2 linked regions of the Nothobranchius furzeri genome follow. The protein of the gene in region 1 interacts with the protein of each later gene in a pairwise test. Links are inferred from orthologs where the notes say so. Each region holds a gene or a part of one and is shown in the gene's direction. Other genes may lie near its edges.

Evidence for each region.
Region 2: the proteins of ciao1 (region 1) and ciao2b interact in binary tests that used the Homo sapiens proteins (3 or more experiments, as listed by UniProt). The two-hybrid records come from large-scale screens. The link is inferred for Nothobranchius furzeri from reciprocal best matches to the Homo sapiens genes CIAO1 and CIAO2B.

The regions. Positions count from the first base shown.
Region 1 is NC_091757.1:37,104,124-37,115,962, reverse strand, and holds ciao1 (probable cytosolic iron-sulfur protein assembly protein ciao1), read left to right. Parts: upstream 1-5,588; 5' UTR 5,589-5,825; coding exon 5,826-5,964; intron 5,965-6,091; coding exon 6,092-6,240; intron 6,241-6,324; coding exon 6,325-6,436; intron 6,437-6,513; coding exon 6,514-6,602; intron 6,603-6,678; coding exon 6,679-6,874; intron 6,875-6,954; coding exon 6,955-7,024; intron 7,025-7,093; coding exon 7,094-7,325; 3' UTR 7,326-7,525; downstream 7,526-11,839. Other genes in the region: gatd3l (ES1 protein, mitochondrial), read right to left, coding at 1,537-1,629, 1,720-1,851, 1,956-2,069, 2,153-2,205, 2,281-2,397; tmem127 (transmembrane protein 127), read right to left, coding at 3,981-4,291, 4,365-4,529, 4,626-4,863; snrnp200 (U5 small nuclear ribonucleoprotein 200 kDa helicase), read right to left, coding at 7,959-8,108, 8,190-8,282, 8,367-8,448, 8,566-8,726, 8,799-8,975, 9,071-9,214, 10,241-10,362, 10,451-10,615 and 5 more. UniProt on the Homo sapiens protein: Key component of the cytosolic iron-sulfur protein assembly (CIA) complex, a multiprotein complex that mediates the incorporation of iron-sulfur cluster into extramitochondrial Fe/S proteins.
Region 2 is NC_091752.1:28,655,487-28,667,266, reverse strand, and holds ciao2b (cytosolic iron-sulfur assembly component 2B), read left to right. Parts: upstream 1-5,006; 5' UTR 5,007-5,182; coding exon 5,183-5,309; intron 5,310-5,579; coding exon 5,580-5,659; intron 5,660-7,750; coding exon 7,751-7,876; intron 7,877-7,995; coding exon 7,996-8,041; intron 8,042-8,121; coding exon 8,122-8,222; 3' UTR 8,223-8,885; downstream 8,886-11,780.

The DNA.
Region 1 (11,839 bases):
TCAGTGGGTCAGCTGCTCCTGACTGTCCCAAAGACAAAGCGTAAGCCTCGAGAAGATCGTGCCTTTGCTTTAGCAGCTCCTAGATTGTGGAATGAGCTTGCTTTAAATATCAAACAAGCCTCTTCACTGTCAAAACCCACCTCTTCTCTCTGGCCTTTGACACTACCTGAGATGTTGACTTTTAACTAGTTTTAGATCATTTTTACTATTATTTAAATGCATTTTACTTTGATTCAACCAAATTGTAGTCTGCTCAGCTTATTGTGTTAACTCTTTGGTTGTTTTATTACTCTACGTTCTAGGGTTTTATTGTTGACTGTTGTTTTTATTTGTTCTGTCTACAGCGCTTTGGTCCTGCGGGTGTTTCAAGTGCTATACAAATAAAGTTGGTATGGTAATAAAGAAATAGTTAGAGAATTTCGACACCTTTTTACTGGCGTTGTTCCTACAGGTGAAGGAGTTTGTCATTCTTCTAAATTGTTTCATCACTAACTTTCTCCTTCAAAACGTCAATTGACTCCTCCTCTTTCTTGGCATTAACAGCAAAAGGGATTAATCTTGGGATGTAAGCAAGAAGTCAGCATACACTTTAACCTTCTGTTGTCATGGCGATCCCCTCCTCAGCATCCTGCTCCACTCTTCCCTGTAATTCCTGTAATCCCACACCTCCTTCTACCCGGAATCCTCTATTCTTCACCTTTCACCCTGTGCCCTTTCACCTGACCTTGTCACAGGTCGCCACGGTGACTGCTCATCACCTCATCCATCCGGCTAAGACCAGTCATTTTGTAGCAGATCTCATTAGGTTGGACCGTTTGTGTAGGAGTTTTTGTTTTGCCCAGCCTGCCTTAAAGGATTTGTCTGCTTTCAAGTTGCCCAGGATGAGCTTAAAAGCACTAAAGGCTATTTTTACTACTTCTGTCCTACTTGTTGTCTGCTACGCTCAGAAAGAGCCAATATGAGGAATTTAACCTTGCAGCTTCAAAAAGGCAACAGCTGATCTGACAGTTTATGAAGCTCTTTATAAACAAACAGTATCAGCTGCCAAGCAAAGCCATCTTTAATATCTATTTGGTGGAAGATAAATCAGATTTTCCATGTGTAAACAAAAAGGTGTTGAGATGCTTTAGGTTTTGTTATACTAGAGTAAGCTTCTTTAATTGGCTCAACAAACTTGGGGGGCAGCAGTTGGGCTAATGGTCCTTTTATCTTTCTATTATTTCTTTAAAAATAAATGCTGCATAAAACAACAAGATCTGGCCATTGATTAAATCTACAACATACATGATTTTACTCGTGATTATGATAATATCATTAATCATTTAGTGTGATTTCTCACAGCCTCTCATGGCCTAATTCTATTATGAGGATTAATTAAAGCTTCTGTGTTCACCTGTAGTTAAGGTGTCATCAAAACAAATAAAAATGTCAAGAGCAGACCCGTGTTTGAGTGAAAAAGGTTCATTTCGAGCACATTTTTAGCACTTCTGTTAATCTTAATGCTGATATTTGGTACAATGACCAAATGATACGTACCCAATGGGCTTGCGTGAATGGTGGAAATCTTTAAGAACTCGTTCTACGTCATTGTGCAGCTTACAGTCTTTGCCATCCTTCATAAAAGATGATCTAAAGGTCAGGAATTTTGCAGTTAGTGGCACATTATATGTATATATATAAAATAAACACAATTATTTTTTACATTTGAAAACTCCTCACAGGTTCTTGATGATCCCATGACCTCCAGGAAAGATGACAGCATCAAAGCTGTTGACATCCAGAACGGACAGGTCCTGCATTTGCATCTTTCCCTGACCGTGACTGAAGCGAGCCGACTCCATCATCATGTTCCTGATTACAAATGTGTTAACATGTGATGGGGGTTAGGTCAGGTCATTCGGCTTTACGTGCAAAATGTAATCAACGGTCTCCTCAGCCCAGTGTGAGATTCCTACCGGTTCTCCCCTGAGAACGGCTGCTTTTTCATGTGATCCATCACATGCATCTGCTGCTGATTCGGAGCAAACATCTGGAAACGAGCTCCGTTTCGGCTCAGGTGGTACATGGTGCTGAGGAGAAATTTGTCACCATTTCTGTAAAATTACGCATTTATACAAATGTAAAACAAAATCCCTGATGTCCTGATACTCACTACACTCCTTCATGGACATCAGTTCCATCCCACCATCCACATCCTGAGAAAACCTAGAATACATTGATGCACAAAATCAGAACAGTTCTCCTCTTTTCATGGGTCGTGTAACAAGGAGTCAAACTTACCACTGCAACATTGGTGTTCCCCCAGGTGCCATGGTCACCGTGGTGAACAAAGCAGGCTGGCTGGCGAGAGAGAATTGCCAGTGTCTGTTTTGACAGCAAAGTCCTGGTTGCCAGCATGTCTATGATCAAGTCTCACTTTTTGAGAAGAAAAAGTGTAAGTGAAGAGTTTGCAACCGAGCCTGTGAAGACCTCTGACGGCACAGACATTTACCTCTCTGAGGACATCTGTATAAATACGTGCGGTCAAATGACGCTCCCACATTAGCTCCATTGTCTTTTCACGTCTTGACTTGTTCCCTTCCTGAACACCCTTCCCTATTAATACCTCTTTAATTCTGATTACCTTAAAGCATTTGGCCACAGGGCAAAACTTTAGCCTCAATATCTTAACTCGTTAGGAATTTGGCACTTGATGAGTCGCATTGGTTGGGAAACTGTTCAACACCATTATGCAGGCATAGTAGTATGCCATATGCCCTTTAAAGTCCATTAGGTTGTAAGACTCTTACTCTCTGTAATGCCGTGTTGAGTCTAGACAGTAATCCAGAAATACCTTTGACAGAAAGAAAACTAACATTTATAGTAAAACTGCACATTCCGTTTAGCAGGAGTCAAAATGTAGTTATAGATGAGCAGCAAGAAGCAAAATATGGCATTTATTTTATTATGGCCACTTTATGTAGAAACAATCGCTATTTACACATCAGTGAGGAGAGCACAGTGAGGAACAAAATGTAGAAAATGATAAAACAAAGTGCAATCAACTACAATCATCACACCAGCCACACGTTTAAGCCTCAGGAAGAACCTTGTGATGAGATTCTAGCTGATTATTTTCAAATGTGCATCCACCACAACCCGTAAACAGAAGACATTTACTGAACTTGTCATGTATGGTATTCACAAGGTACAAACAAGGTTTATTTTTAATAAAATACAATAAACATAACACAACCAAATTAGGATGTGAGGTTTGTTGCTGTAGCAGAACACCCTCTCTCTTCACCTGACTCACAACACAGCCAAAGACATTTTTTAAAAACGCCAAAGGCCCGCCTCACATTTTTGGAAATGTCCTTATTGTTTCTAATACAGAGGTGAACAGAGAAGACTATGTTAGTGACTAATGTCTGCAAAGCAAAAGATAGAAGACAGCACACACAATAAATAAGGTCCATTTGCTTTTTTATATAAAATAAACATTTAAAACAATCTTGTCAGTGTACGTGTACATCAGCATTTATGATGTATCAAATTAAAATGCTGTGTTGTTTTAACAAAGCCCCATCATAGCCCTGTAACTGCAACCACTGACAACGTGCTGAAAGTTTGTTTCAACAAAAGCACTGATCAGGCTGTGGCTACCCCCCAATTTCTTCTTATGAGCAGTTTAATACTCTCTGCAGTTAATTTATCTTTACATGTAAGGACCAGATCCTAAAAGCCATTTACATGCAAATCACTAACCACTTCAGTGGGGAAAGTAAGAAATATCTCCTAAACTGCTGTCACCACTAAAGAAAGATTCCATGCACCCAAGCACTGTTATTCAAGGAAGCTGTGCACTAATGTGCACACGCTGTGTTTAATGCCAAGAAAATCTGCAGCAGTATCCGTTTGCTTAAAGAGTGTGGTTTTGCACATCGAGCAAAAAGCTGAGCTGAGAGAGAAATGTGTATGCAAAGGCAAGTCTGGTTGGATTAGGGTGTGTAGGCAGGTGGTGGTTGAAACTGATTAGCAATGTCATAATCAGCAGGGAAATTCTCACTGCTATCCTCCATCTCAGAGAGCAGCTCTAAGGCCTGCTCTTCCTCTTCAGTGGGGTAGTGGCGAAGAAGGTTTGCAGCTGTGGCGAGGATGGATGCTCCACCCGCACCTGCCACCAGGTAGAAGCTGATAGCAAAAGTGACATATATAAGTGAACCGTGGTACTTCTTGTGCTGCTGCTGAAGGGACAAGATCAGCTCTGAGGCCCAGTAGCAAAAGCCTATGACTGTGGCACACTGCAACACTAGAAGGAAAAGGAAGTCTGTTAGCACAGGTAAATATGCAAAATGTTTTGTGTGTAAATGAAAGGTTTGTACCTGTGAGTATATGGGCAAATGCATATCTACGAGTGATCTTTAGGGCAGGGTGTTTCGGTCCAAACACATCTAACAGAAAAGCAGTTAGACTGCATAGGATGCCCAGGAAACAAAAGGCAGCTATGACCCTCAACAGCAGGATGGTCTGCGGGTTCACACAGTAATCTGAGGATACAGAAACGTCAAAACAAACAAAAACCATTACGAGTCAAAACAATGATCGATAATTGCTGGTTGTAAAGTAATTGTGCAGGTTCTCACCATCTAGAAGCTTTGGATCAATGTAACCCAAGACATCCGCAACCCCCAGCTCCTGCCTGGGACAGGCGCCCCCATGAACACGCACCCAGGCCGGCTCAGCCAGAGCCGTACACAGCGCTGTGATGGACAAAGCTCCGGGCAGCGCTGACACCAGGCTGCGCTCCGGCTGCTTGGGCAGGGAGGTGGCAGTTCTTCTTCTCCGGCCACCAGGTACGGTAGAGCCCGGCGGAGCATACATGATTACCAAATCTCTGTTTTTGTAGGAAGTGTTGGTTCCCTTGTCTGTCCTTTTCCTTAAGGTTTATAACTGGGATTAGCCGCCTGACACAGCTGTCAGTCGGTACAGCTGATTTTACCTGTAGTGTTAAAGGATGATAGCGGTCCAGGCGACTTGTTAGATGAAAGATATACAATACTTCCGTACGAGAACCAGCTGCTCGATAAAAAAACAGGATCTGGCTGACGAGGAAACAAAAGACAGATGGCCTTCAGGCCTGTTAGCTGTACTGTTAGCCCGATTAGCTAATTCGCAGTAAACGTCAAATATAATAAATTCTTATGACAGGATTAAAACGAATACAAAAAAAACATATAAACGCCAACCTAGAACCCAATCTTTACAACAACAATAAATAAAAATATATTGTTTTAGTTACAGAAAAACAAACAGAAAACAAAACAAAAGACAGCTTACGCTGGTTTCCTCTAAAGCATTGACTTCCTGTTTCCACCGGGTTTCGTCGTAGCTACAGTAGAACCTGTGATCACTAGCCCCACCTACCGGTTAAAAAAACTACACAACGATGAAAACTTCTCTGCATTTACCATAGACTTTAAATCTTATACATAAATCTCGCTTTTTTTATGAATAATTATATATTTTATTACGACAACTGAATTTGTTTCCGTTTATTTAAAAAAAATATATTTAAGTTTGTTTTTAAAGGAAGACGGAAGCCCACAGTGTGCACTTCCGATAAGCAAAGATGGCGGCACGTCAGTTGTGGATGTTTCTATGAACTTCTTTAATTTGCTCTTTATTGCAAGTTAATTCCTTATCTTCTCAAAATATGTTAATAGTGATAGTGGCTCTGCTGCTTTGATGGGTTTTGTTTGAGTTTCTTATCGGATTTTTCTGGGAAGGAAAAGACAAAAGTGACGAGACCTGTTAACTAAATATTTAATAGTCATTAAGTCAGTATGAAGGAGACTCTCACGCTGCTTCACAGGCTCAGCGCACACCCGGACTCTCGGTGTTGGTTTGTCGCTTGGAGCCCAAACGGGACTCTGCTGGCTTCGTGTGGCGGGGACAAGGCCATCCGGATCTGGGGACGCGAAGGTAGCCTGTCATCTCTTTCTCTCTCTTACACACACACACACACACACACACACACACACTCTGATTATTAGTTATCTGTTGGTAAAATAATTAATCTATTGACCTCGGTGACCCCCTCTATCCGTAGGAGACTCCTGGGTTTGTAAGAGTGTGCTGGAGGATGGACACCAGCGCACCGTGAGGAAAGTGGCCTGGTCTCCATGTGGAAATTATTTGGCCTCTGCCAGCTTTGATGCAACTACATGCATCTGGAAGAAGAATAACGAGGGTTTTGAGGTTAGATGAGACCTCTGTTGTTCAGTGGTGTGATTAAAAAAGCATTTAACCGTGAACTTGACACATTTGTAAATGTCTTTATAGAGTTTGACAGTGTTGGAGGGACATGAAAATGAGGTCAAATGTGTGGCGTGGGCTCCATCAGGGAACCTCCTGGCCACATGCAGTCGAGACAAAAGCGTTTGGATCTGGGAAGGTTTGTGTTTATTTACACATGTAATAAATACAATTTGATCAGATCTGGTTAATAGGTGTTTTCCCTCTGTCCCACAGTGGATGAAGAAGATGAGTATGAGTGTGTCACAGTTCTAAACTCTCACACACAAGATGTTAAGCATGTAGCGTGGCACCCGACCCGAGAGGTAGACTCAGATCTGTAGACATTATCTCCATCTGTAGCTCCATTCTCATTTTTGAGGTTATTGTCTGTTTCCTCAGCTCCTGGCTTCGGCCAGCTACGACAACAACATTTGTATTTACAAGGAAGAAGACGATGACTGGGAATGTCGCGCTACTTTGGAAGGACACACCTCCACCGTCTGGAGTTTGTGCTTTGATGCAACTGGACAGAGGATGGCGTCCTGCAGCGATGATCGCACTGTGAAGATTTGGAAAGAATATCCCTCTGAGAGTGGTCAGTAGTTATGAACAGTAACACCGAAGCCATTTATTTACAAACAAATCCTTTTTTTTACCTGCTCTGTATGTTGAAAGGTGACACGTCCTGGAAGTGTGTTTGCACTCTGTCTGGGTATCATGGACGAACAGTGTATGATGTGTCCTGGTAAGACTGAACTTCTATCAGTGATCTGAATGAATTACCTTCAAACTGACTTAAACACCATTTGTTCAGGTGTCCGCTGACTGGCGCCCTGGCAACTGCCTGCGGTGACGACGCAGTTCGAGTTTTCAGAGAGGACGTGACCTCTAATCCAGAAGAACCTGTATTCTCGCTGGTTGCTCAGGTAACCAAAGCTCACAACCAGGACGTTAACTGTGCTTCCTGGAACCCGAAAGAAGCTGGAATTCTTGCCTCCTGCAGCGACAATGGAGAACTTGCCATTTGGAGGTTCAAAGAAGACTGATTCAGTGACAAATGCACCGAAGTGCTTTTGGTTTTAGATCTCATACTGGGAACTTTATCTTTAAGGCACCACATCTGTTATTTCATGGCTTGATTAATCTCGTTTTAATTTTTGTGATCGGAAAACCGCTGCAGCTCATCTTGTACACTTTTTAAAAATGGCTTAATCAAACATGTTTATGAATAAATACAAAAACACAAGACTGTGTGGTTTCATTTTAATAAAAAGAAAAGAACATGCCAGACAATAGATTCTTAAAAACATGTTTACTAATCTAGGGAAAACCATTTTACATCTGCAATGTAACTTTAGACATAATCTGAAACCAAATTGTTGCATCTTTTATTTTAAAAAGCAAACCTGACAAGAAAAGTACAAAATTATGCTTCCCATATTTAAAGCAGTATTGTCAGTGGATCCAGCTGAATCCAAAACATGCATTTCATTTTTAATACGGAAAACAGATCCTGCACACCAATTTTGGACTGTTTCATCAATCGGGTCACTAAAAAAAACTGACATACTTTGGGCAAAAGTGAGAAGTTTAAATTCAAAGAAACAAATCAGGTTGAATATCTACAACACACCCATTGATTCCCTCTCAAATGGAGACAACACAGTATTCAGTAAAACTTAGTCTGAGTCACTTTCTCCCTCGCTGTCGGCCTCCTTCACATCCACACTGAACTTGTACTCCTGGTCACAACCCATGTACGCATCACTCATGAAGTACAGGGTGTAGTGGTGAACGCCCACTGCAGGTGCAACAAAGTCCAGCTTCACCTGTGGAGGAAGTACAGAAGAAAACAGGAAATGAGGCCTTCTACTGGGAAGGGGAGAACATTTCTGCTGTATTACACCGACCTTTGCTTTCTGCTGAAGAGTCAGCCTCTTGATGGAGATGAGGCTGTTAGACTTGGGGTCTCCAATAACGACCCACCAGCCCTCCTCACGTTTCTGCAACAACAAGAACACGTCACCACGATCCACTTTTACACACCGCTGAAACAAACGGGATCTTTGGTGAATGACGGAACAAACCTGAGGGAAGAGTGGCGCAATAACCGGACCAGTCACCTCCTCCTCTCGCTCCAGCTGCACCTGAACCAGAACTGAACTGCCGCTAAGAAAAACAAGTTCACAATGTTAACCGATGTTAATCGATTAAATTGATCCTCAACCGTAAAACTTAATTATGCTTTCAAAGCTTACATAAATAAATCTGCTGAGAAACACAAACCTTTTGACATTGTCCCTCTCTGCTACTTCATAGGACAGCTCGATGTTGGGGTAACGGTTACAGAAGCGAGCCACATCAGCCATCTGGCTGTCTGACAGCTGCAGCAGACCGGATCTGTCCTCATCCTCCATTTCCATTATGTCAAAGATACTGTCCACACCCTAAAGAGAGCAACAAGGGATGTTTTCATCTACGTTTGCTTCATTCATAACCAAATGTTAATACCAACTAACCTTGTCAGTACAACGCTTGATGTGTTCGGAGGTAAAGTGAGGCAGCTGCTTCAGATACGAGTCCTTGGACCACATGGCCTGGGTGACCATCTGGGCCAGCTCCATAGCGGCTAGAGCGGGACTCAGCCAGCCGTTACTGGACAACACGTCGACGCAGGCCTGAATCAGACGGATCGCCTACAAACAAACGCTCTCGTCACATAAAACACGCTGGGATCAAATACAGAAACGTGGCTGAGTCACAGCAAAACATAGTATTCAGGGATCTGAACCTTGCTGAGGATGTCTTCGGTGTCCGACTGGAGCTCAGCACTCAGCTGCATCCTGGATAGGTGAGCTTGCAGCAAAAGGTTTGTCTTCACATGGGGGTCGTTGAACTTCGGATTGTTCAGTTTGTGGGGCACTTTCTGTGCCAGCTGAAGGAAAAAGCAGCTCAAAGTTAAAGATGTTGCAGCACAAAAGGCACCTACACACTGGGTCAGTACCAGACCGGAATTTGGTTTCACACCTGGGTAGGGCTGGGCCTAACCCAATTTATCGTTATTGAAATTTCTGACAGAATTTTTCCCATATCAATAAATTTGATAATAAAAAAAGAAAAGATGTGTATAGGTTGGCAATGTTAATGTCCCTTTAAGAAGCGGTACCACCTTGAGTCACGTAAATATGTGACTCAACGTAAAACATGTGACAGCCCCATGTAGTGGACAACTTTTGTTTCTGCACATACATGTAGTTATCGTTCATTTATCGTTATCGAGGTGAAATCCTCAATATATTGTGATACTGATTTTAGGTCATACCGCCCAGCCCCACACTTGGGCCACTTATGAGTTTTCTGTTCTGAGGTACCTCTTTTTTTCAGACCTCTTTCTCAAAGGACCGACTGGGACCGAGGTGACACTACGGACTGATTGGCTGACTGAAATGATCATCTACTGCCTCAAGTAGAATCAGCCAGCAGGGGGTTTACGCATGAACATCCTGGATGTTGTTGAGTAAACATCTCAGTCTGTAGCACAGAGCTCCCGGAAGAGAGAGTCGTGTATGTCCTCTGAGCAGCGAACATCTCTGCATGAAGCTCTTGCTACAGCTGCTCAATGGATGGAGAGAGCAGCGAGCGTGTGTGTGTGAGTGGAATTTGAGGACATGCACAGCAGTGAGAGAACAGGGAGCACATTAATAAAAGAATGTGCTTCGGTGTCTCCAAAAGCAACACAGCTCACACCTGCCTTTGCTTATCTTAATAAGAAGGACACCACCAGCGCATTTTAAACGCCGCCCACGTGCTCGGGGATTTCTGCATTCTCGAGAACTCCTTCGGGAACACTACACTGCCCGTATGAGACCCAACTGACGCTATCCTCCCACAACCGTACTGACCCTAAAGTGTAAGCGGCAAAAGACGCTACTCTAACGTGGACTTGTGTCGGTGTGTTTACCTGTCGGAGGAGCATGTCCTCGTGGTGCCTGATGGGAATGTTCTTATATTCAGCTGCGTTAGAGATGATTTCAATTAATCCTCGACTCTTGGTCTTGGCATTCAGGGACATGCTGAATAACTCTGTTGAACAACAACAAAAACTTTGCTGTGAAGTCTGAGGTCCAGGAAGCAACATAAACCCCATAGAGAGGTGAGTGTAGCTACAAACCAATGGTGGTGTAGTTTATGTAGTAATAAGCTGCGATCATGCCCAGATTGAGGGGTGCAACATCCATCTCGTCCTCGATGCTGATGCACTTGGACTGCTCCAGGTCATGTAACGTGTTCTCCACCAGCTCAGACAGGTGGTCAGACAGGTGGCGATGGGACATGCCTGCCACAGAACATAAGACTCAACAAGAAACCCCTAAGCCTGGTCTGGTCAAGTGTGATGTGGTCTCTGCCTTAAAGGATGCTAACCCTGCAGGTTGTAGTAGTTGGGGTTCTGCGTCATACGGCGGTAGAGGAACGTCCACGTCAGGTAGTCCACGGCGTCCTGCTTGTTCTCCACCGTCTTGGTGACGATCTCAGCGTTAAAGTGGTCATGAAGACAGTGATCCAAGTGAGACTCCACTGGCAGGGGCTCGTACAGGAACTTCTTGAAGAAGTCCTACAACAAAAACAGATAACCTGTTTAGTTCAAGTATTTTTACAGTAATTGCTTTTAAAACAAAACCAACGCATGTTCGCACCTTCTTGGAGCCCTGACACATGATGACACAGCGTCCCTCATCATCCAGCATGGGTCTGTTTGCCTTTCCCACCATCTGGAGAACATCATATATGGGATAGTCCACATATCTGAGAGAAATGAGAGAACGTGTCATCAAAACAGCACATTAAATTCATTATTGTAGACATTTTTTCAAGTCAACTTAAATCCTTACGCATGGATTTTTCCATTGTAGTATTGGGTATCCATGACGATGACGAGGTGTGCAGAAACGCTGATGCCCCAGCAGAGCGAACGTGAAGACACCACCACCTGAATGGCACCTGTACAAGAAAGAAACCCCTTTTCTGGTTTGTTTCTCAGCTCTGAGCGACCCAGGTGTAAAATAAAATTCATACCCGAGTTGAAAAGCTGCTCCACGATTTTGCATTCAGTTGCAGAGAGGCCCTCATGCAGGTATCCCACGCCGTTGGCCAGAGTCTCTTTAAGAGTCCCGTCGTTTATCTTCTCAAGGAACGGAGTCAAGTCTTTTTCGTTACAATGCAAAAACCTGATAAGACCAAGAATTTTTCAGAACACCAAGTAGAATAATCTCAAGATCAAAGACTGATGAGCTGTGACCGTACAGTCTATGGCTGTGACTGACCTCTGAGGAACAACATCAGCAGCACAGAAAGTGAGGATGTCGATGGCGGTGAGGCGGGTCTGCCTGCGGGACGGGACAAACACCAGCACTGGCTTGGAGGGAGAGTGCCTCATGATGGCGTGGTACACCGGTTTGGCCATGGACAGCAGGCGAGTCTGAGTGTGGCTGACGTTGAAACCCTGCAGCAACAAGGCGACAGGAAGTCAGGAATCTGGAAGGTGTTTAAATAGTTCTTTCCA
Region 2 (11,780 bases), on another chromosome or scaffold:
CCAAAGTCCAACAGAGAGGGAGCAGCTGGCAGTAGTTTGTATACAGCCTGCCTGAACCTCCACCACTGAAGAAGAAGCCTTTCAGCAGCCGGCTTCTACAGTCTCTGCCTGAAAAGCATGAGTGAAGATGGACATAAGGACGTTTTTAGACAAATGGTACCGCAACAGAACCCAAGCTTTAATGAGACTGGTGTTGACTCAGGTTTGTGAGTCTTATTTGAAAATATTTGTTGTGCTGTTGGTTTGCCTAAAGTTAGCTTACTATCAGGTAAAGTTGATGGAGAAAGAAAGGGAATATTTACAATCATCTCACACTAAACACTAACAGGAACAATAGTCTAGCCTGAATATGCTTAATATGTAGCTTCCGATTAAAAATTATGTGGTACAAGACAAATATATATGATGTTGACTAGTGCGTGTCACGTGTGTGCGCGTGCGTGTGTGTGTGTTAAGCCCCGGATCTTCTTGAAAGTGGAAACGGGCCAAATGCATTCTGAAAAGCCATGTGTAGTTTCTTCATTACTGTTTCATTCCGTAAAGTAATTTCATCACAAGTGGGCCGTATGGAAGGAAGTAGAGTTGCATTGAAAAATGGCCATGTCTGACCACATACCAAATTATGTGCCAGAGCGTTAGCTAGCATGTACAACTTGCAGCCTTGTCTCTTCACTTCACTTAGAATGTGTTCCAAGTGCTTTACTTTGCTCCCCACGTACAAGACTTTTCATATGATGGTTTGTAATTACAATATAAATCACTTCCATATAGGCCGATCTTTGAGAGTTTCTGGTAAATGTCACAGGTGGGTAATAATCTGCCCATCAGTGCCCACGTTGCTGACCGTTGGAGCTTTTTACAGTCAGGTCCATAAATATTGGGACATTGACACAATGCTAACATTTTTGGCTCTATACACCACCACAATGGATATCAAATGAAACGAACAAGATGTGCTTTAACTGCAGACTGTCAGCTTTTATTTGAGGGTATTTACATCCAAATCAGGTGAACGGTGTAGGAATTACAACAGTCTGCATATGTGCCTCCCACATGTTAAGGGACCAAAAGTAATGGAACAGTTGGCTTCTCAGCTGTTCCATGGCCAGGTGTGTGTTATTCCCTCATTATCCCAATTACAATGAGCAGATAAAAGGTCCAGAGTTCATTTCAAGTGTGCTATTTGCATTTGGAATCTGTTGCTGTCAACTCTCAAGATGAGATCCAAAGAGCTGTCATTATCAGTGAAGCAAGCCATCATTAGGCTGAAAAAACAAAAGAAACCTATCAGAGAGATAGCAAAAACATTAATCGTGGCCAAAACAACAGTTTGAAACATTCTCAAAAAGAAGGAACGCACCGGTGAGCTCAGCAACACCAAAAGACCCGGAAGACCACGGAAAACAACTGTGGTGGACGACCGAAGAATCCTTTCCCTGGTGAAGAAAACACCCTTCACAACAGTTGGCCAGATCAAGAACACTCTCCAGGAGGTAGGTGTATCTGTGTCAAAGTCAACAATCAGGAGAAGACTCCACCAGTGTGAATACAGAGGGTTCACCACAAGATGTAAACCATTGGTGAGCCCCAAAAACAGGAAGGCCAGATTAGAGTTTGCCAAACAACATCTAAAAAAGCCTTCACAGTTCTGGAACAACATCCTATGGACAGATGAGACCAAGACCAACTTGTACCAGAGTGATGGGAAGAGAAGAGTATGGAGATCCTAAGCATACCACCTCATCAGTGACTCATGGTGCTGGAAGTGTCATGGCGTGGGCATGTATGGCTGCCAGTGGAACTGGTTCTCTTGTATTTATTGATGATGTGACTGCTGACAAAAGCAGCACGATGAAATCTGAAGTGTTTCGGGAAATATTATCTGCTCATATTCAGCCAAATGCCTCAGAACTCATTGGACGGCGCTTCACAGTGCAGATGGACAATGACCCAAGCATACTGCAAAAGCAACCAAAGAGTTTTTGAAGGGAAAGAAGTGGATGGTTTTGCAATGGCCAAGTCAATCACCTGACCTGAATCCAATTGAGCATGCATTTCACTTGCTGAAGACAAAACTGAAGGGTAAATGCCCCAGGAACAAGCAGGAACTGAAGACTGTTGCAGTAGAAGCCTGGCAGAGCATCACCAGGGATGAAACCCAACATCTGGTGATGTCTATGTGTTCCAGACCTCAGGCTGTATTTGACTGCAAAGGATTTGCTACCAAGTATTGAAAAGTATAAGTTTGATTTATGGTTCTTCTTCTGTCCCATTACTTTTGGTCCCTTAACAAGGGGGAGGCACATATGCAAACTGTTGTAATTCCTACACCGTTCACCTGATTTGGATGTAAATACCCTCAAATAAAAGCTGACAGTCTGCAGTTAAAGCACATCTTGATCGTTTCATTTGATATCCATTGCGGTGGTGTATAGAGCCAAAAATGTTAGCATTGTGTCAATGTCCCAATATTTATGGACCTGACTATATATCCCAGGTTGTGCTCTGCCTGTCAACACCTTTGGAGACTCATTCAAAGCACATCAGGTGAGCTTCTCTGGACTCAGCAGCACAAGCAGCTCAAAGTAGGTAATTTTTTATTTGGATCTACAGGATGACAGCACACAGTACACAACAGGGGACAAAGAACGTTATCTAACCCACACTGTCTATTTGTCTGACAATGATTTCAGAGGCAGATTTGAGAATTAGTTTTGGATTTTAACTCTTAACAGGTCAAAGTGTCCTGATCTTTGAACTGTCAAAGGTTTCCCAGTTTCCTGTTCATCACTCTAGAGTTTGGGTTGTTTTTCTTGTTATTAAAATGCTTATTTATAATAAATGCTTGCATTTTACCAACCTGCACATGCCTAAGTATTACGGCTCGTCCTTCATTTAAAACCCCAAACATGGTTGTAACAATAGTTTTCATATTTAACTTAATGAAACTGAATCACTGACTGGAATAATCAATCACAATGTCAGATGTTCGTATTGTTACAGTATTTTGCCTAATTCCTCCATTGCTGCCCTTATACAACTTTTCTTTTCTTTTGTGAAGTGTCACAGGTGTCTTCTGTGGTACGTTATCTCATTATCTACACATTTTTCCCCTAACAGGTGCACGTGTCATGGTAAAGTTTTTTTCACAATTGCTGATCTTCCTCATTTCGCTTTACTTCTACAGCTCATTAGAAGAAATAAACAAGTCCAGAGATGAAATTAATTGAGTGTCAGATTTTAAGCCAGGCCTGGTGACCATGCAGGACCTGATAATCCTAATATACTGTTGTGGGCTGAGTTTGTCTCACGTGTTCTTTTATATGGATTTCATCAAATTTCTTTTCTTTTTTTTTTATTGCAGATGTTTATTTTTCCTACGGCTCAGTTCTGAAAAAAAATACAGCATCTGGTATTCAGCAGATTGTGACAAAATTTAAATGCATGTAAATAATATTGCAAGAATTGTTTTACTGATGTTGTATGTTGGCAGAATATTCCATCAGGTGCAAAAGAAGAATTTATTTCTGCTTATTCACAGGGGCAGCTTGCAAAAAATGTGTGAGGGTGTGTTTAAGGACAATAAAATCTAAATTAGAGAAGATGCACTGACAACAATTTAGATAGCAAACACACACACTCACACACATGCAATGCTAACCTGATTTGTGTACATGATTCAGAAAAGAAGGCATGTTGTAAAAAAAAAAAAAAAGAAGCCACTAAACATACTTTAAACATTTTGGTAACAGAAATACTCATAGTGTAGAATTTCTGTTAATTTTCTACTTTAACTCATCAATGTTTCCTGTAGTTCATTGTACCAGTTTCACTGCTTTAGTTTGGGTCTGCCTCAATACTCTAAGTTTTAGTAATCCGCTGCAACCCTTTGTTAATGTATTTTTTGTAGGTGATTGTAATTCCTGGTTAGCCCTCTTTTCTACTTAAAGCATTGAAATTCTGTTGGTTTTCAACAATGTTTGTCTATAGTACACTGTAGCAGTTTTACTGCCTTAGTTTTAGTCTCCTGACACCTTCAGCTGACCACATTTAGTTCTTTTCTCAATTTTTTATTATGTTAGTCTTCTAGTTTTAGTATATCTAATTCCATAGTTCATTTTTGTGCTTGTGTGTTTTGTCTGTTCTTACTGCTGTAAAGCACCTTGAGTTGCCTCTGTGTGGGAAATGTGTTATATAAATAAAGCTGTCTTGTCTTGTCTTGTCGGTCCAAACCTATTTATGTCGATGGTCCAAACACGTTAAGGTTCTGAGATGAATTATTTGTATCATGTAGCAATGTGTGATACGTTTTTATGCCACAAGATGGGGTGCAAGTTCTATGTTAAAAGTGATCCTCAAGGAAAAGAGGCTGTTTAAAAACTTTATTTAACAAAATAGAAACCATAGAGGTTGTTGCACTTCAGATAAGTTGTTTCTTTTGGCGTGTGTTCAATAAAGACAAGAAAAGAAAGCTCCTGACTCTGTAATCCTTTCCTTTAAGTTTATTCCTGCAAAATATTCAACAATTTAAAATAATATGTCCGGACTTGTTTGGTTTGCTTTAGTACAGCATTCATACAGTTGACTCTCCCATATTTCAGTTAGAATTGAAAAAGCTCCTCGGATGAGAAGCGAAACGTCTTCAAGAATCCAAAGAAGTCCAGTTGCCTTCATTTAAACCCATGACCTGGATCACTGAGAACCTTCACCGGCATATTTAATCAGAATAACGTTCATATTTATCATGATGAGGCTTAATTGATATCAACAATCAGGGTGCGTTTGATTATTTGAAAATTTTTCAAAGAATGTGTCTTTCATTATTTAACTTTTCTTACTGGTAGGACATTAATCCACCAAAATTATCAATTAAAAAGTGACAGTTACATTTGTTGCATTTATTTAAAATTCTTATTACTATAGAAAATACATATTTTAACTTGGTCGGGTGTTTTTCGAAGCAAACGTTTAAATCTACGACTTTTAGCAGAATTCCAGCCTTTATTTTATTGGTTTGTTTCAGGGTGTTTTTCTCACTGGATGAGCGCTGTTTCTTTAAGAAGTTCATGACGTCACACGTCATTTCCCGTTTATCCCGGAAGTAAACCACTGGAGCTCTAGAGAAGTTTTTCAGATTGGGAGTGTTTTTTTAAGTTTATTTTGGGCTAAATCATACTTTAAAATGTCCCGAGGGGTCCAGATGGAAAACGCAAACCCCGTGATCTTCCAGCGCTGCAGGGACAGGCCGCTGACTGCGTCCGAAGAGGATGAAGACGTTCACGACCTCATCGACGACAGAGAAATATTCGATATCCTCGATCCCTTTCTCTGGTTTAGGCTAATTTAACTACTGAGAGGCGCAAAGAAACGTTTATTTTACTCAGATGATTAAATGGTACATTTCCTTAGGAAAACGTAGAGAAATCTAGCGAATTAAAATAAAAGCCTGACCACTGAAGTACGGGAGACATACATTATGTTTAGAGTGGCTTATATTATTATCTACAACTGCATCGATTACACATCAAAGAGAAAAGCTGTTTATTATATATTTTAAATAATTCTTTAACTGAAGTTACATCTGATCCGATCCATCAATGATCCAGAACATCCTTTGTCTCTTGAGGAACTCAATGTGGTGGAACAAGTTCGAGTCAAGGTATGTCCTCTCATTTGAGTCTAATTTATTAATTGTAAAACCAAACAAAAAAGGAAATTTAATATGGTGGGATAAATGTGAGCAAAACTAATGTGCTCACCAGTAGGGATAAACTGATATAGCTGGGCGATATTTACCTATAAATATATCGGCGTCAGCCTATAAAACGTATTAGTTAAACTGATTAAGGCAGGCACATCTTAGGGCAGCTTGGTGCTGTTGCATAATTTAATTTAAAATACTTTTTTACTTCCTGAATAACATCTGCATAATAAATTCTCACTATTTCTCAACTATAATTTACCAGCTTTGAATATTTAATATTTGGTCAATTCATAAATTTGTTTGATTAACTTTATTTAGATGTCTGACTTTAACACTGACCAGAGCACAAAATTAAGATTTAATAGTTAGTTAAATTCAGTGTTCAAAAACTGATTCAGCTTAAGAATTGTGTGCATCAGTTGATGTTATTAGTGACATTTTATCATTAAGTGGAAAATGTGTATATAAAATTAGCCCAAAACAAATATCGGCCATTATCGGCTGGTCATATCTCCTACACATCGGTATCGGCAATGGAAAAACCAATATCAGACGTCTTCCACTCACAAGTTCTCCATATTTTTTTAAATAGGTTAGGGATCAAGTCGAAGTTTGACACTTTGGTCCTTTTACGCTACTGACATTTGTCCCAAATTCCGTGTAAAATATCAGTTTCATTTATTGGATTTATATAGTACATTAAAGGTTATATGTCCAGATCATCAAAGTGTTGTTCAAATGAAAAACAATGAACAAAGAGACAGAATCAGTAAAAAGTGGAGGTGCATCGATCTATTGGCCCTGATCTCGGGTTTTTTTTCAAGATCGAGGATCGACCGTAAACTGCAATTGGTTCCCCCCTTGTTAATGTTAAAGCAAATCATTGATATAAAAAAATTATTTGGACAAGTGTGTCAAAAGTTTTGTTTTCAAAATTAGAAAAATGAAAGTCTTAAGGAACTGACAGATTTTTCTCAAGATCGGTGGTCAGCCAAAAACTGCAATTGCTGCACCCCCTTAGTAGAAAGTGAGGAATAAACTAGAATAACACAATGCTACAAAGTGCTAAAAGCCTTTTTGATTAATAAAGTTTTAAGTTTGGATAGAAAATGGCTCAGGTCAGTGACCACACGTAAATCTAAAGGTAGCTGGTTCCAGGGCGACACAACCGAGAGCTCAGTCACCCCAGTGATTAAATGTAGTTCTTGGAAGTTTGAGGAGAAATGGAGATGAAGACCTCAGCGATCTGACACGGACACTCGGTTAATCTGAGACGTAAGGTGGGGCCAAACAATTAAGAGCTTTAAAACAAACAAAAGTTTAAAATCTTTCCCAAAACAAACAGAAGCGAGTGGAGGGAAAATAAAACCAGAGCTATGGGCGCACATCTTGAGGTGTCTTTTAAAAGGTGAGTGGCTGATTTTTTGACCAAATGAAGCATTTTCATGGACGGCTGTAGGAAACTAACATGAAGAACATTACAGTAGTCAATTGTCATGCTGATAAAGGCACGAATCATCTCCTGGAGGTAAAATATTGACATTTGAATTTGCCAAATGTAATTGTCAAAATGATTTAATAGTGTTTTCAGGCCTTGTATACTAGCAAACATATCAAGCTAAATAAACATTTTAAAGAAGATAATACAAATGTGTCGAAGCTCCAGCTTATGTCCGAGTTCACTGCTGAATGGTGTTAAAAGCACTGAAGAAATCAGTAAGCCTGGTCCTCACAGTGCTTCCAGGCTGCTCCGGCTGGGCCACAGCTCAGTGGACGGTGGCATCGCTCCTAATACCTGGCTGGTAGGTGAGCTGCAGAAGAGTCAATGAAGACCTCACCAGGGGGCGAAGAAGGTTCAGATTGCAGTTGTATTTATTTTTGGCTGAGCTTTTTATAAAACAACACATATTTGCAGGTCAACAAACGTATTAGAGCACAGGCGTAAAATCAGTCTACTTATTGACAAGATTTCAATAGTTAAGCCCAGGTTTGCTGCTCAGAAAAATCTAATGACTACTTTTTGTGCTTTTGTCATTTTTTAAATAGGTCAATGATGCAGAAAGCACGGTAGGTGTTGAGTTTACACCCACCATACCACACTGCAGCATGGCAACGCTCATCGGACTGTCGATCAAAGTCAAGCTTCTGCGCTCCCTGCCAGACAGGTTTAAAGTATGTGTGTGTGTGTGTGTGTGTGTGTGTGTGGGGGGGGGGGGGGGGGGGGGGGGCTGATAGTTGCTTTTCCAGTATAAATGTTTGTCTAATATTTTTGTTTTTCTTTTCTCACTCAGATTGATGTTCACATAACTCCAGGGACTCACGCCTCAGAGGAAGCAGGTAGGAACATCACACATTCACCTTAACTGTTAGTACTTTATTCGTGTTTTTTAACTTACTAAATGTTTTTGCACATTCAGTGAACAAGCAGCTTGCAGATAAAGAGCGAGTGGCCGCAGCTCTGGAGAACTCGTCTCTGCTGGAGGTGGTCAACCAGTGCCTGTCCAGCAGGAACATCTGAACAGCCTGTCCTGTTTTTTTTCCTCCTGTGAGACTCTGAACAGTGTGACATTTCAGTTACTTGCATCTGTCTGTCATCTGGAGCTGCAGTTGCATTTCCAGCAGCAAAACAGCAGTCTGGGTTGCATAAAAGCCTGAATAGTTGAATAAATTTGAATAATTGGAACATAAAGTGATGGTAAATGTATCAGAAAAGTGAAGTTTATTTTAAATAGATGCATCAAACCTGCAGAATTGCTTTGTCACTTGTAAATAGTGCTTTGTAAGTTTTAATAAATGTTTTCATTAGTAGTCAAATACATTTTTTAATTCAAACTTTGTATTTAATTAGAAAACAAATTAATTTAGGTTTACACAGAAAATGGGTTTGTATTTTTTTAGTAACAAAATATTTATCAGCTACATGCATTTATTAGAACAAATCAATTACACATTATTTATAAATGTTGAATTAGTTTACTGCCAGGAGCACCGTCATAAAGTTATCAGGGTGGTGGAAGATACGATATTTGCTAGGAATCCGCCATCAGAAAGGGCAAAAAATCAGACGATTTTCCAAGGAGGTGAAGGCCTCAGAATTTGTGTTGCGACTAAAATAAAACCTGGCATTTCAAGTTCAATACAATTGCAGACACATTAAAGTGGAAGTCACTGATCAGTCTCAGTTTGATGTCTTTCCTGTGGTTTTTGTACTTTTTCATGGCCGTTGGTCGCAAACAGTTACAACTCAGTGAAATATTGGCTTTAGAAGAGTGGAAAACCGACAAGCAAATCTGAATGTTGTAACAAAAAAATGTGTCTTTTTAAGTTAATATCACAAACTTATAAATCCATAATAATGCATTTGTTTTAATACCAATGTATATTTTCAGTATAATCGTCACACATTGCTTTCAAACTTACTTTCTAACTATAAAACTGTTTTTAATTGAAAGGGAAAATATGTAATGTTTGAAATGTCCACTAGATGTCGCCCTCTTCCCGTCAAAATTTACTACGCATCAGTGAACAATTTTTCATTAGATCCAGTTTGTTGGCAATGACAAACGTGACAGGCAGTGCCAAAATAAGATGTAAAGTTTTTCTTTTTACAATGACAGTTTGAGTTGAAGCTGGAGGTAAATGTTGAAGCCCTGATTTGATTGCCATCTTGACAGCCCGGCGCCTATTATGGTGCGGTTCTGTAACAACTTGGCACACGACGCATTGCAACAAAACAAAGTGTCACTGTGGCTTTTTCCTCCCCCCTCCCCTTTCTTCCCTCGTTCCACACGGTTCCACATCTGGAAAATTGCATCACAGCTGAAGTACCGGATATGGTACCAGCTGGAACCAGTGGCATCAAAATAAAAGTCGGAACGTTGCGTGACCGGAAGTAATCAAATCCAATGAGTATTTTTTAATCATTATTGTTTAGTGGCAGAAATAAAGCTCATCGTGGATTTTTGTTAGACTAAATTTACGTTTTTTTTATTCCTCCCTCTCTCAAAAAAAAAAAAAAAAAACCCCACTAAAAAACCTGGTCCAGCCCTGTTTCTTCGGTGATCTCGGTGAGACCGCCTTCTCTGCTTCTGCTCTGTAGACTTCAGGATTGGCTGCGCAGCTCTTCATCACGAACCGCAGGATATTGACGGTCGATGGGACATCTTTTTGGCTCTTAACTGCATTCCTTACTCTCCGAGGTACGCTAACAAACGTTTCATTTACTTTTGGTCTAGTGTTGGTTTTGTTGTCGGCTGTGGGAAAGTAGTTCCCGTGAAGCGGAAACCATGAGAGTCCTGTTGGGGGTTAAAAAGCTGAAACAAGTTCTTGACAAGTTCTTGAAAGCAGCTGGGAATGATTCCAGCAGTAATGGCTTGTTTATTTCACCGACTTAAGAAGAATTTGGTCGGTTAGACGTTCACCGTGATATGGCAGCGGCTTTGGTAACAGTGGGCCATTTTCTTCCCCATAAAATGTGATTTAAACAAAAGACCATTTCCCCCCTATTTTAACTCGAATCATGTTTAGGAGGATGAGGCTCGTCACGAATGGTCAAGCATGTGTTTTGAGTTGTGAGCTGCAAATGTGACATATTTCAGCTTTACACACGCACGCGCGCGCGCCCCCCTGAAAACAGCTAAAAAATGCACCGGGTACACATGTGTAAAGGACACTTTTTGCTGCGTATGACTCAAGTTTATGCTTTTATTTTGTTGTCTTAAAGAGCTGAATTTAAACGAATCGCATAATAGATGAATGGGAGCTTTTTCTCATTGCCAGAATATCTGCAGAGTATTATTTTAGCAGGTCTGCTTGCTGGTTTGTTTATATTTTAACCCAGTTTGAAGCCTCTGCAGCTGGTATGGCTTGTAAGATCACTTATAATTGGTGGTATCAAACTTCTCCTTTCTGCTGGCGGTGGATGTGAAAGATGCTAATGCATTATAGTTGATTAGAAGTAAACTCTTCATGGGTGATGTGGCATCAAATAGGAAAACAGATGTCCTGCATCCAATGAGATGTTCTCTGCATCACACCACTTTAAATAAAGACAGGTGTGTTATGTCATAAGTGACTTTGTCTTTGTGGTAGAATAAAACCTTACATATTTATAGACAACCTCACCAGAGCAACAATCTATAATGATTACAGAACAATAATAAATAAGGTATAGTTAAAATAAACAAGGCTGATTTGGTGTAGCCTGGCCTGCCAGACTCACCCTCTGCCTATTCTACATGAAGGACGATAAGGAAGCATGGGCATGGCTGGCCAGGCTAGATTTGGTGGGAACCTGACACCTCAACTGGAACGGTTTTATATTTGTGTTTGCTAGATGTTCCTGTAGACTGAAGAAAAGTTGAACAGAGTGAACTGATGTTTTGCAGCCATGAGTTCTGTATTTCTGCTTCCCCTTCTCTTATTTATTTATTTATTTATTTATTTATTCTTTTTTGCCACCTATTGAACATTTAAGCCTCAACTGGACATTAAAAAGTCTTGAGGTTTTGTGTCTAACCACAAAATATTCTCAAGTGACAGTGGTATGCTGATCAGAGGGATTCTAATTGATAATTATAGGAAAATGACAAGTCGAATACCCTTTTCACACACGTATAAAGAGCAGGTTCACTGAGAAACCAGTTTTTACTTATTTTTAAAAATGACCACTCTGAGTGTTTCATACAGGCTGAATGCAAAAATTGTCTTCTACCCCTATTTCCCGCATTAGCTTCCGATAGAAAATAGATGGAAAAACGCTCGGTTCAGAGATGCCTGATAGTGTGACATCACACTGTCACTTAACATTCATGGACTCACTCATGTTGACTCGCGACAGGGAAAGCTGTTGTTAGTTTAGCACCCAGGAAACAGCAGCTGCTATTAGAAGCTAACTGTTAGCATTATCTACTTCACCACACAGCAGAATTCCTCCAGGCGTGTGTTCTTTGTGGAGATAAATCATCAACGTTGGTAAGCAGAGTCAGCGGCATAGTGGTGTTGCTGTTATCAGAAGTGAGATGTCCAAATATCAGAAAATAAGACTTTAAATTCTGCTGTCTAAAGCCACTTTCTC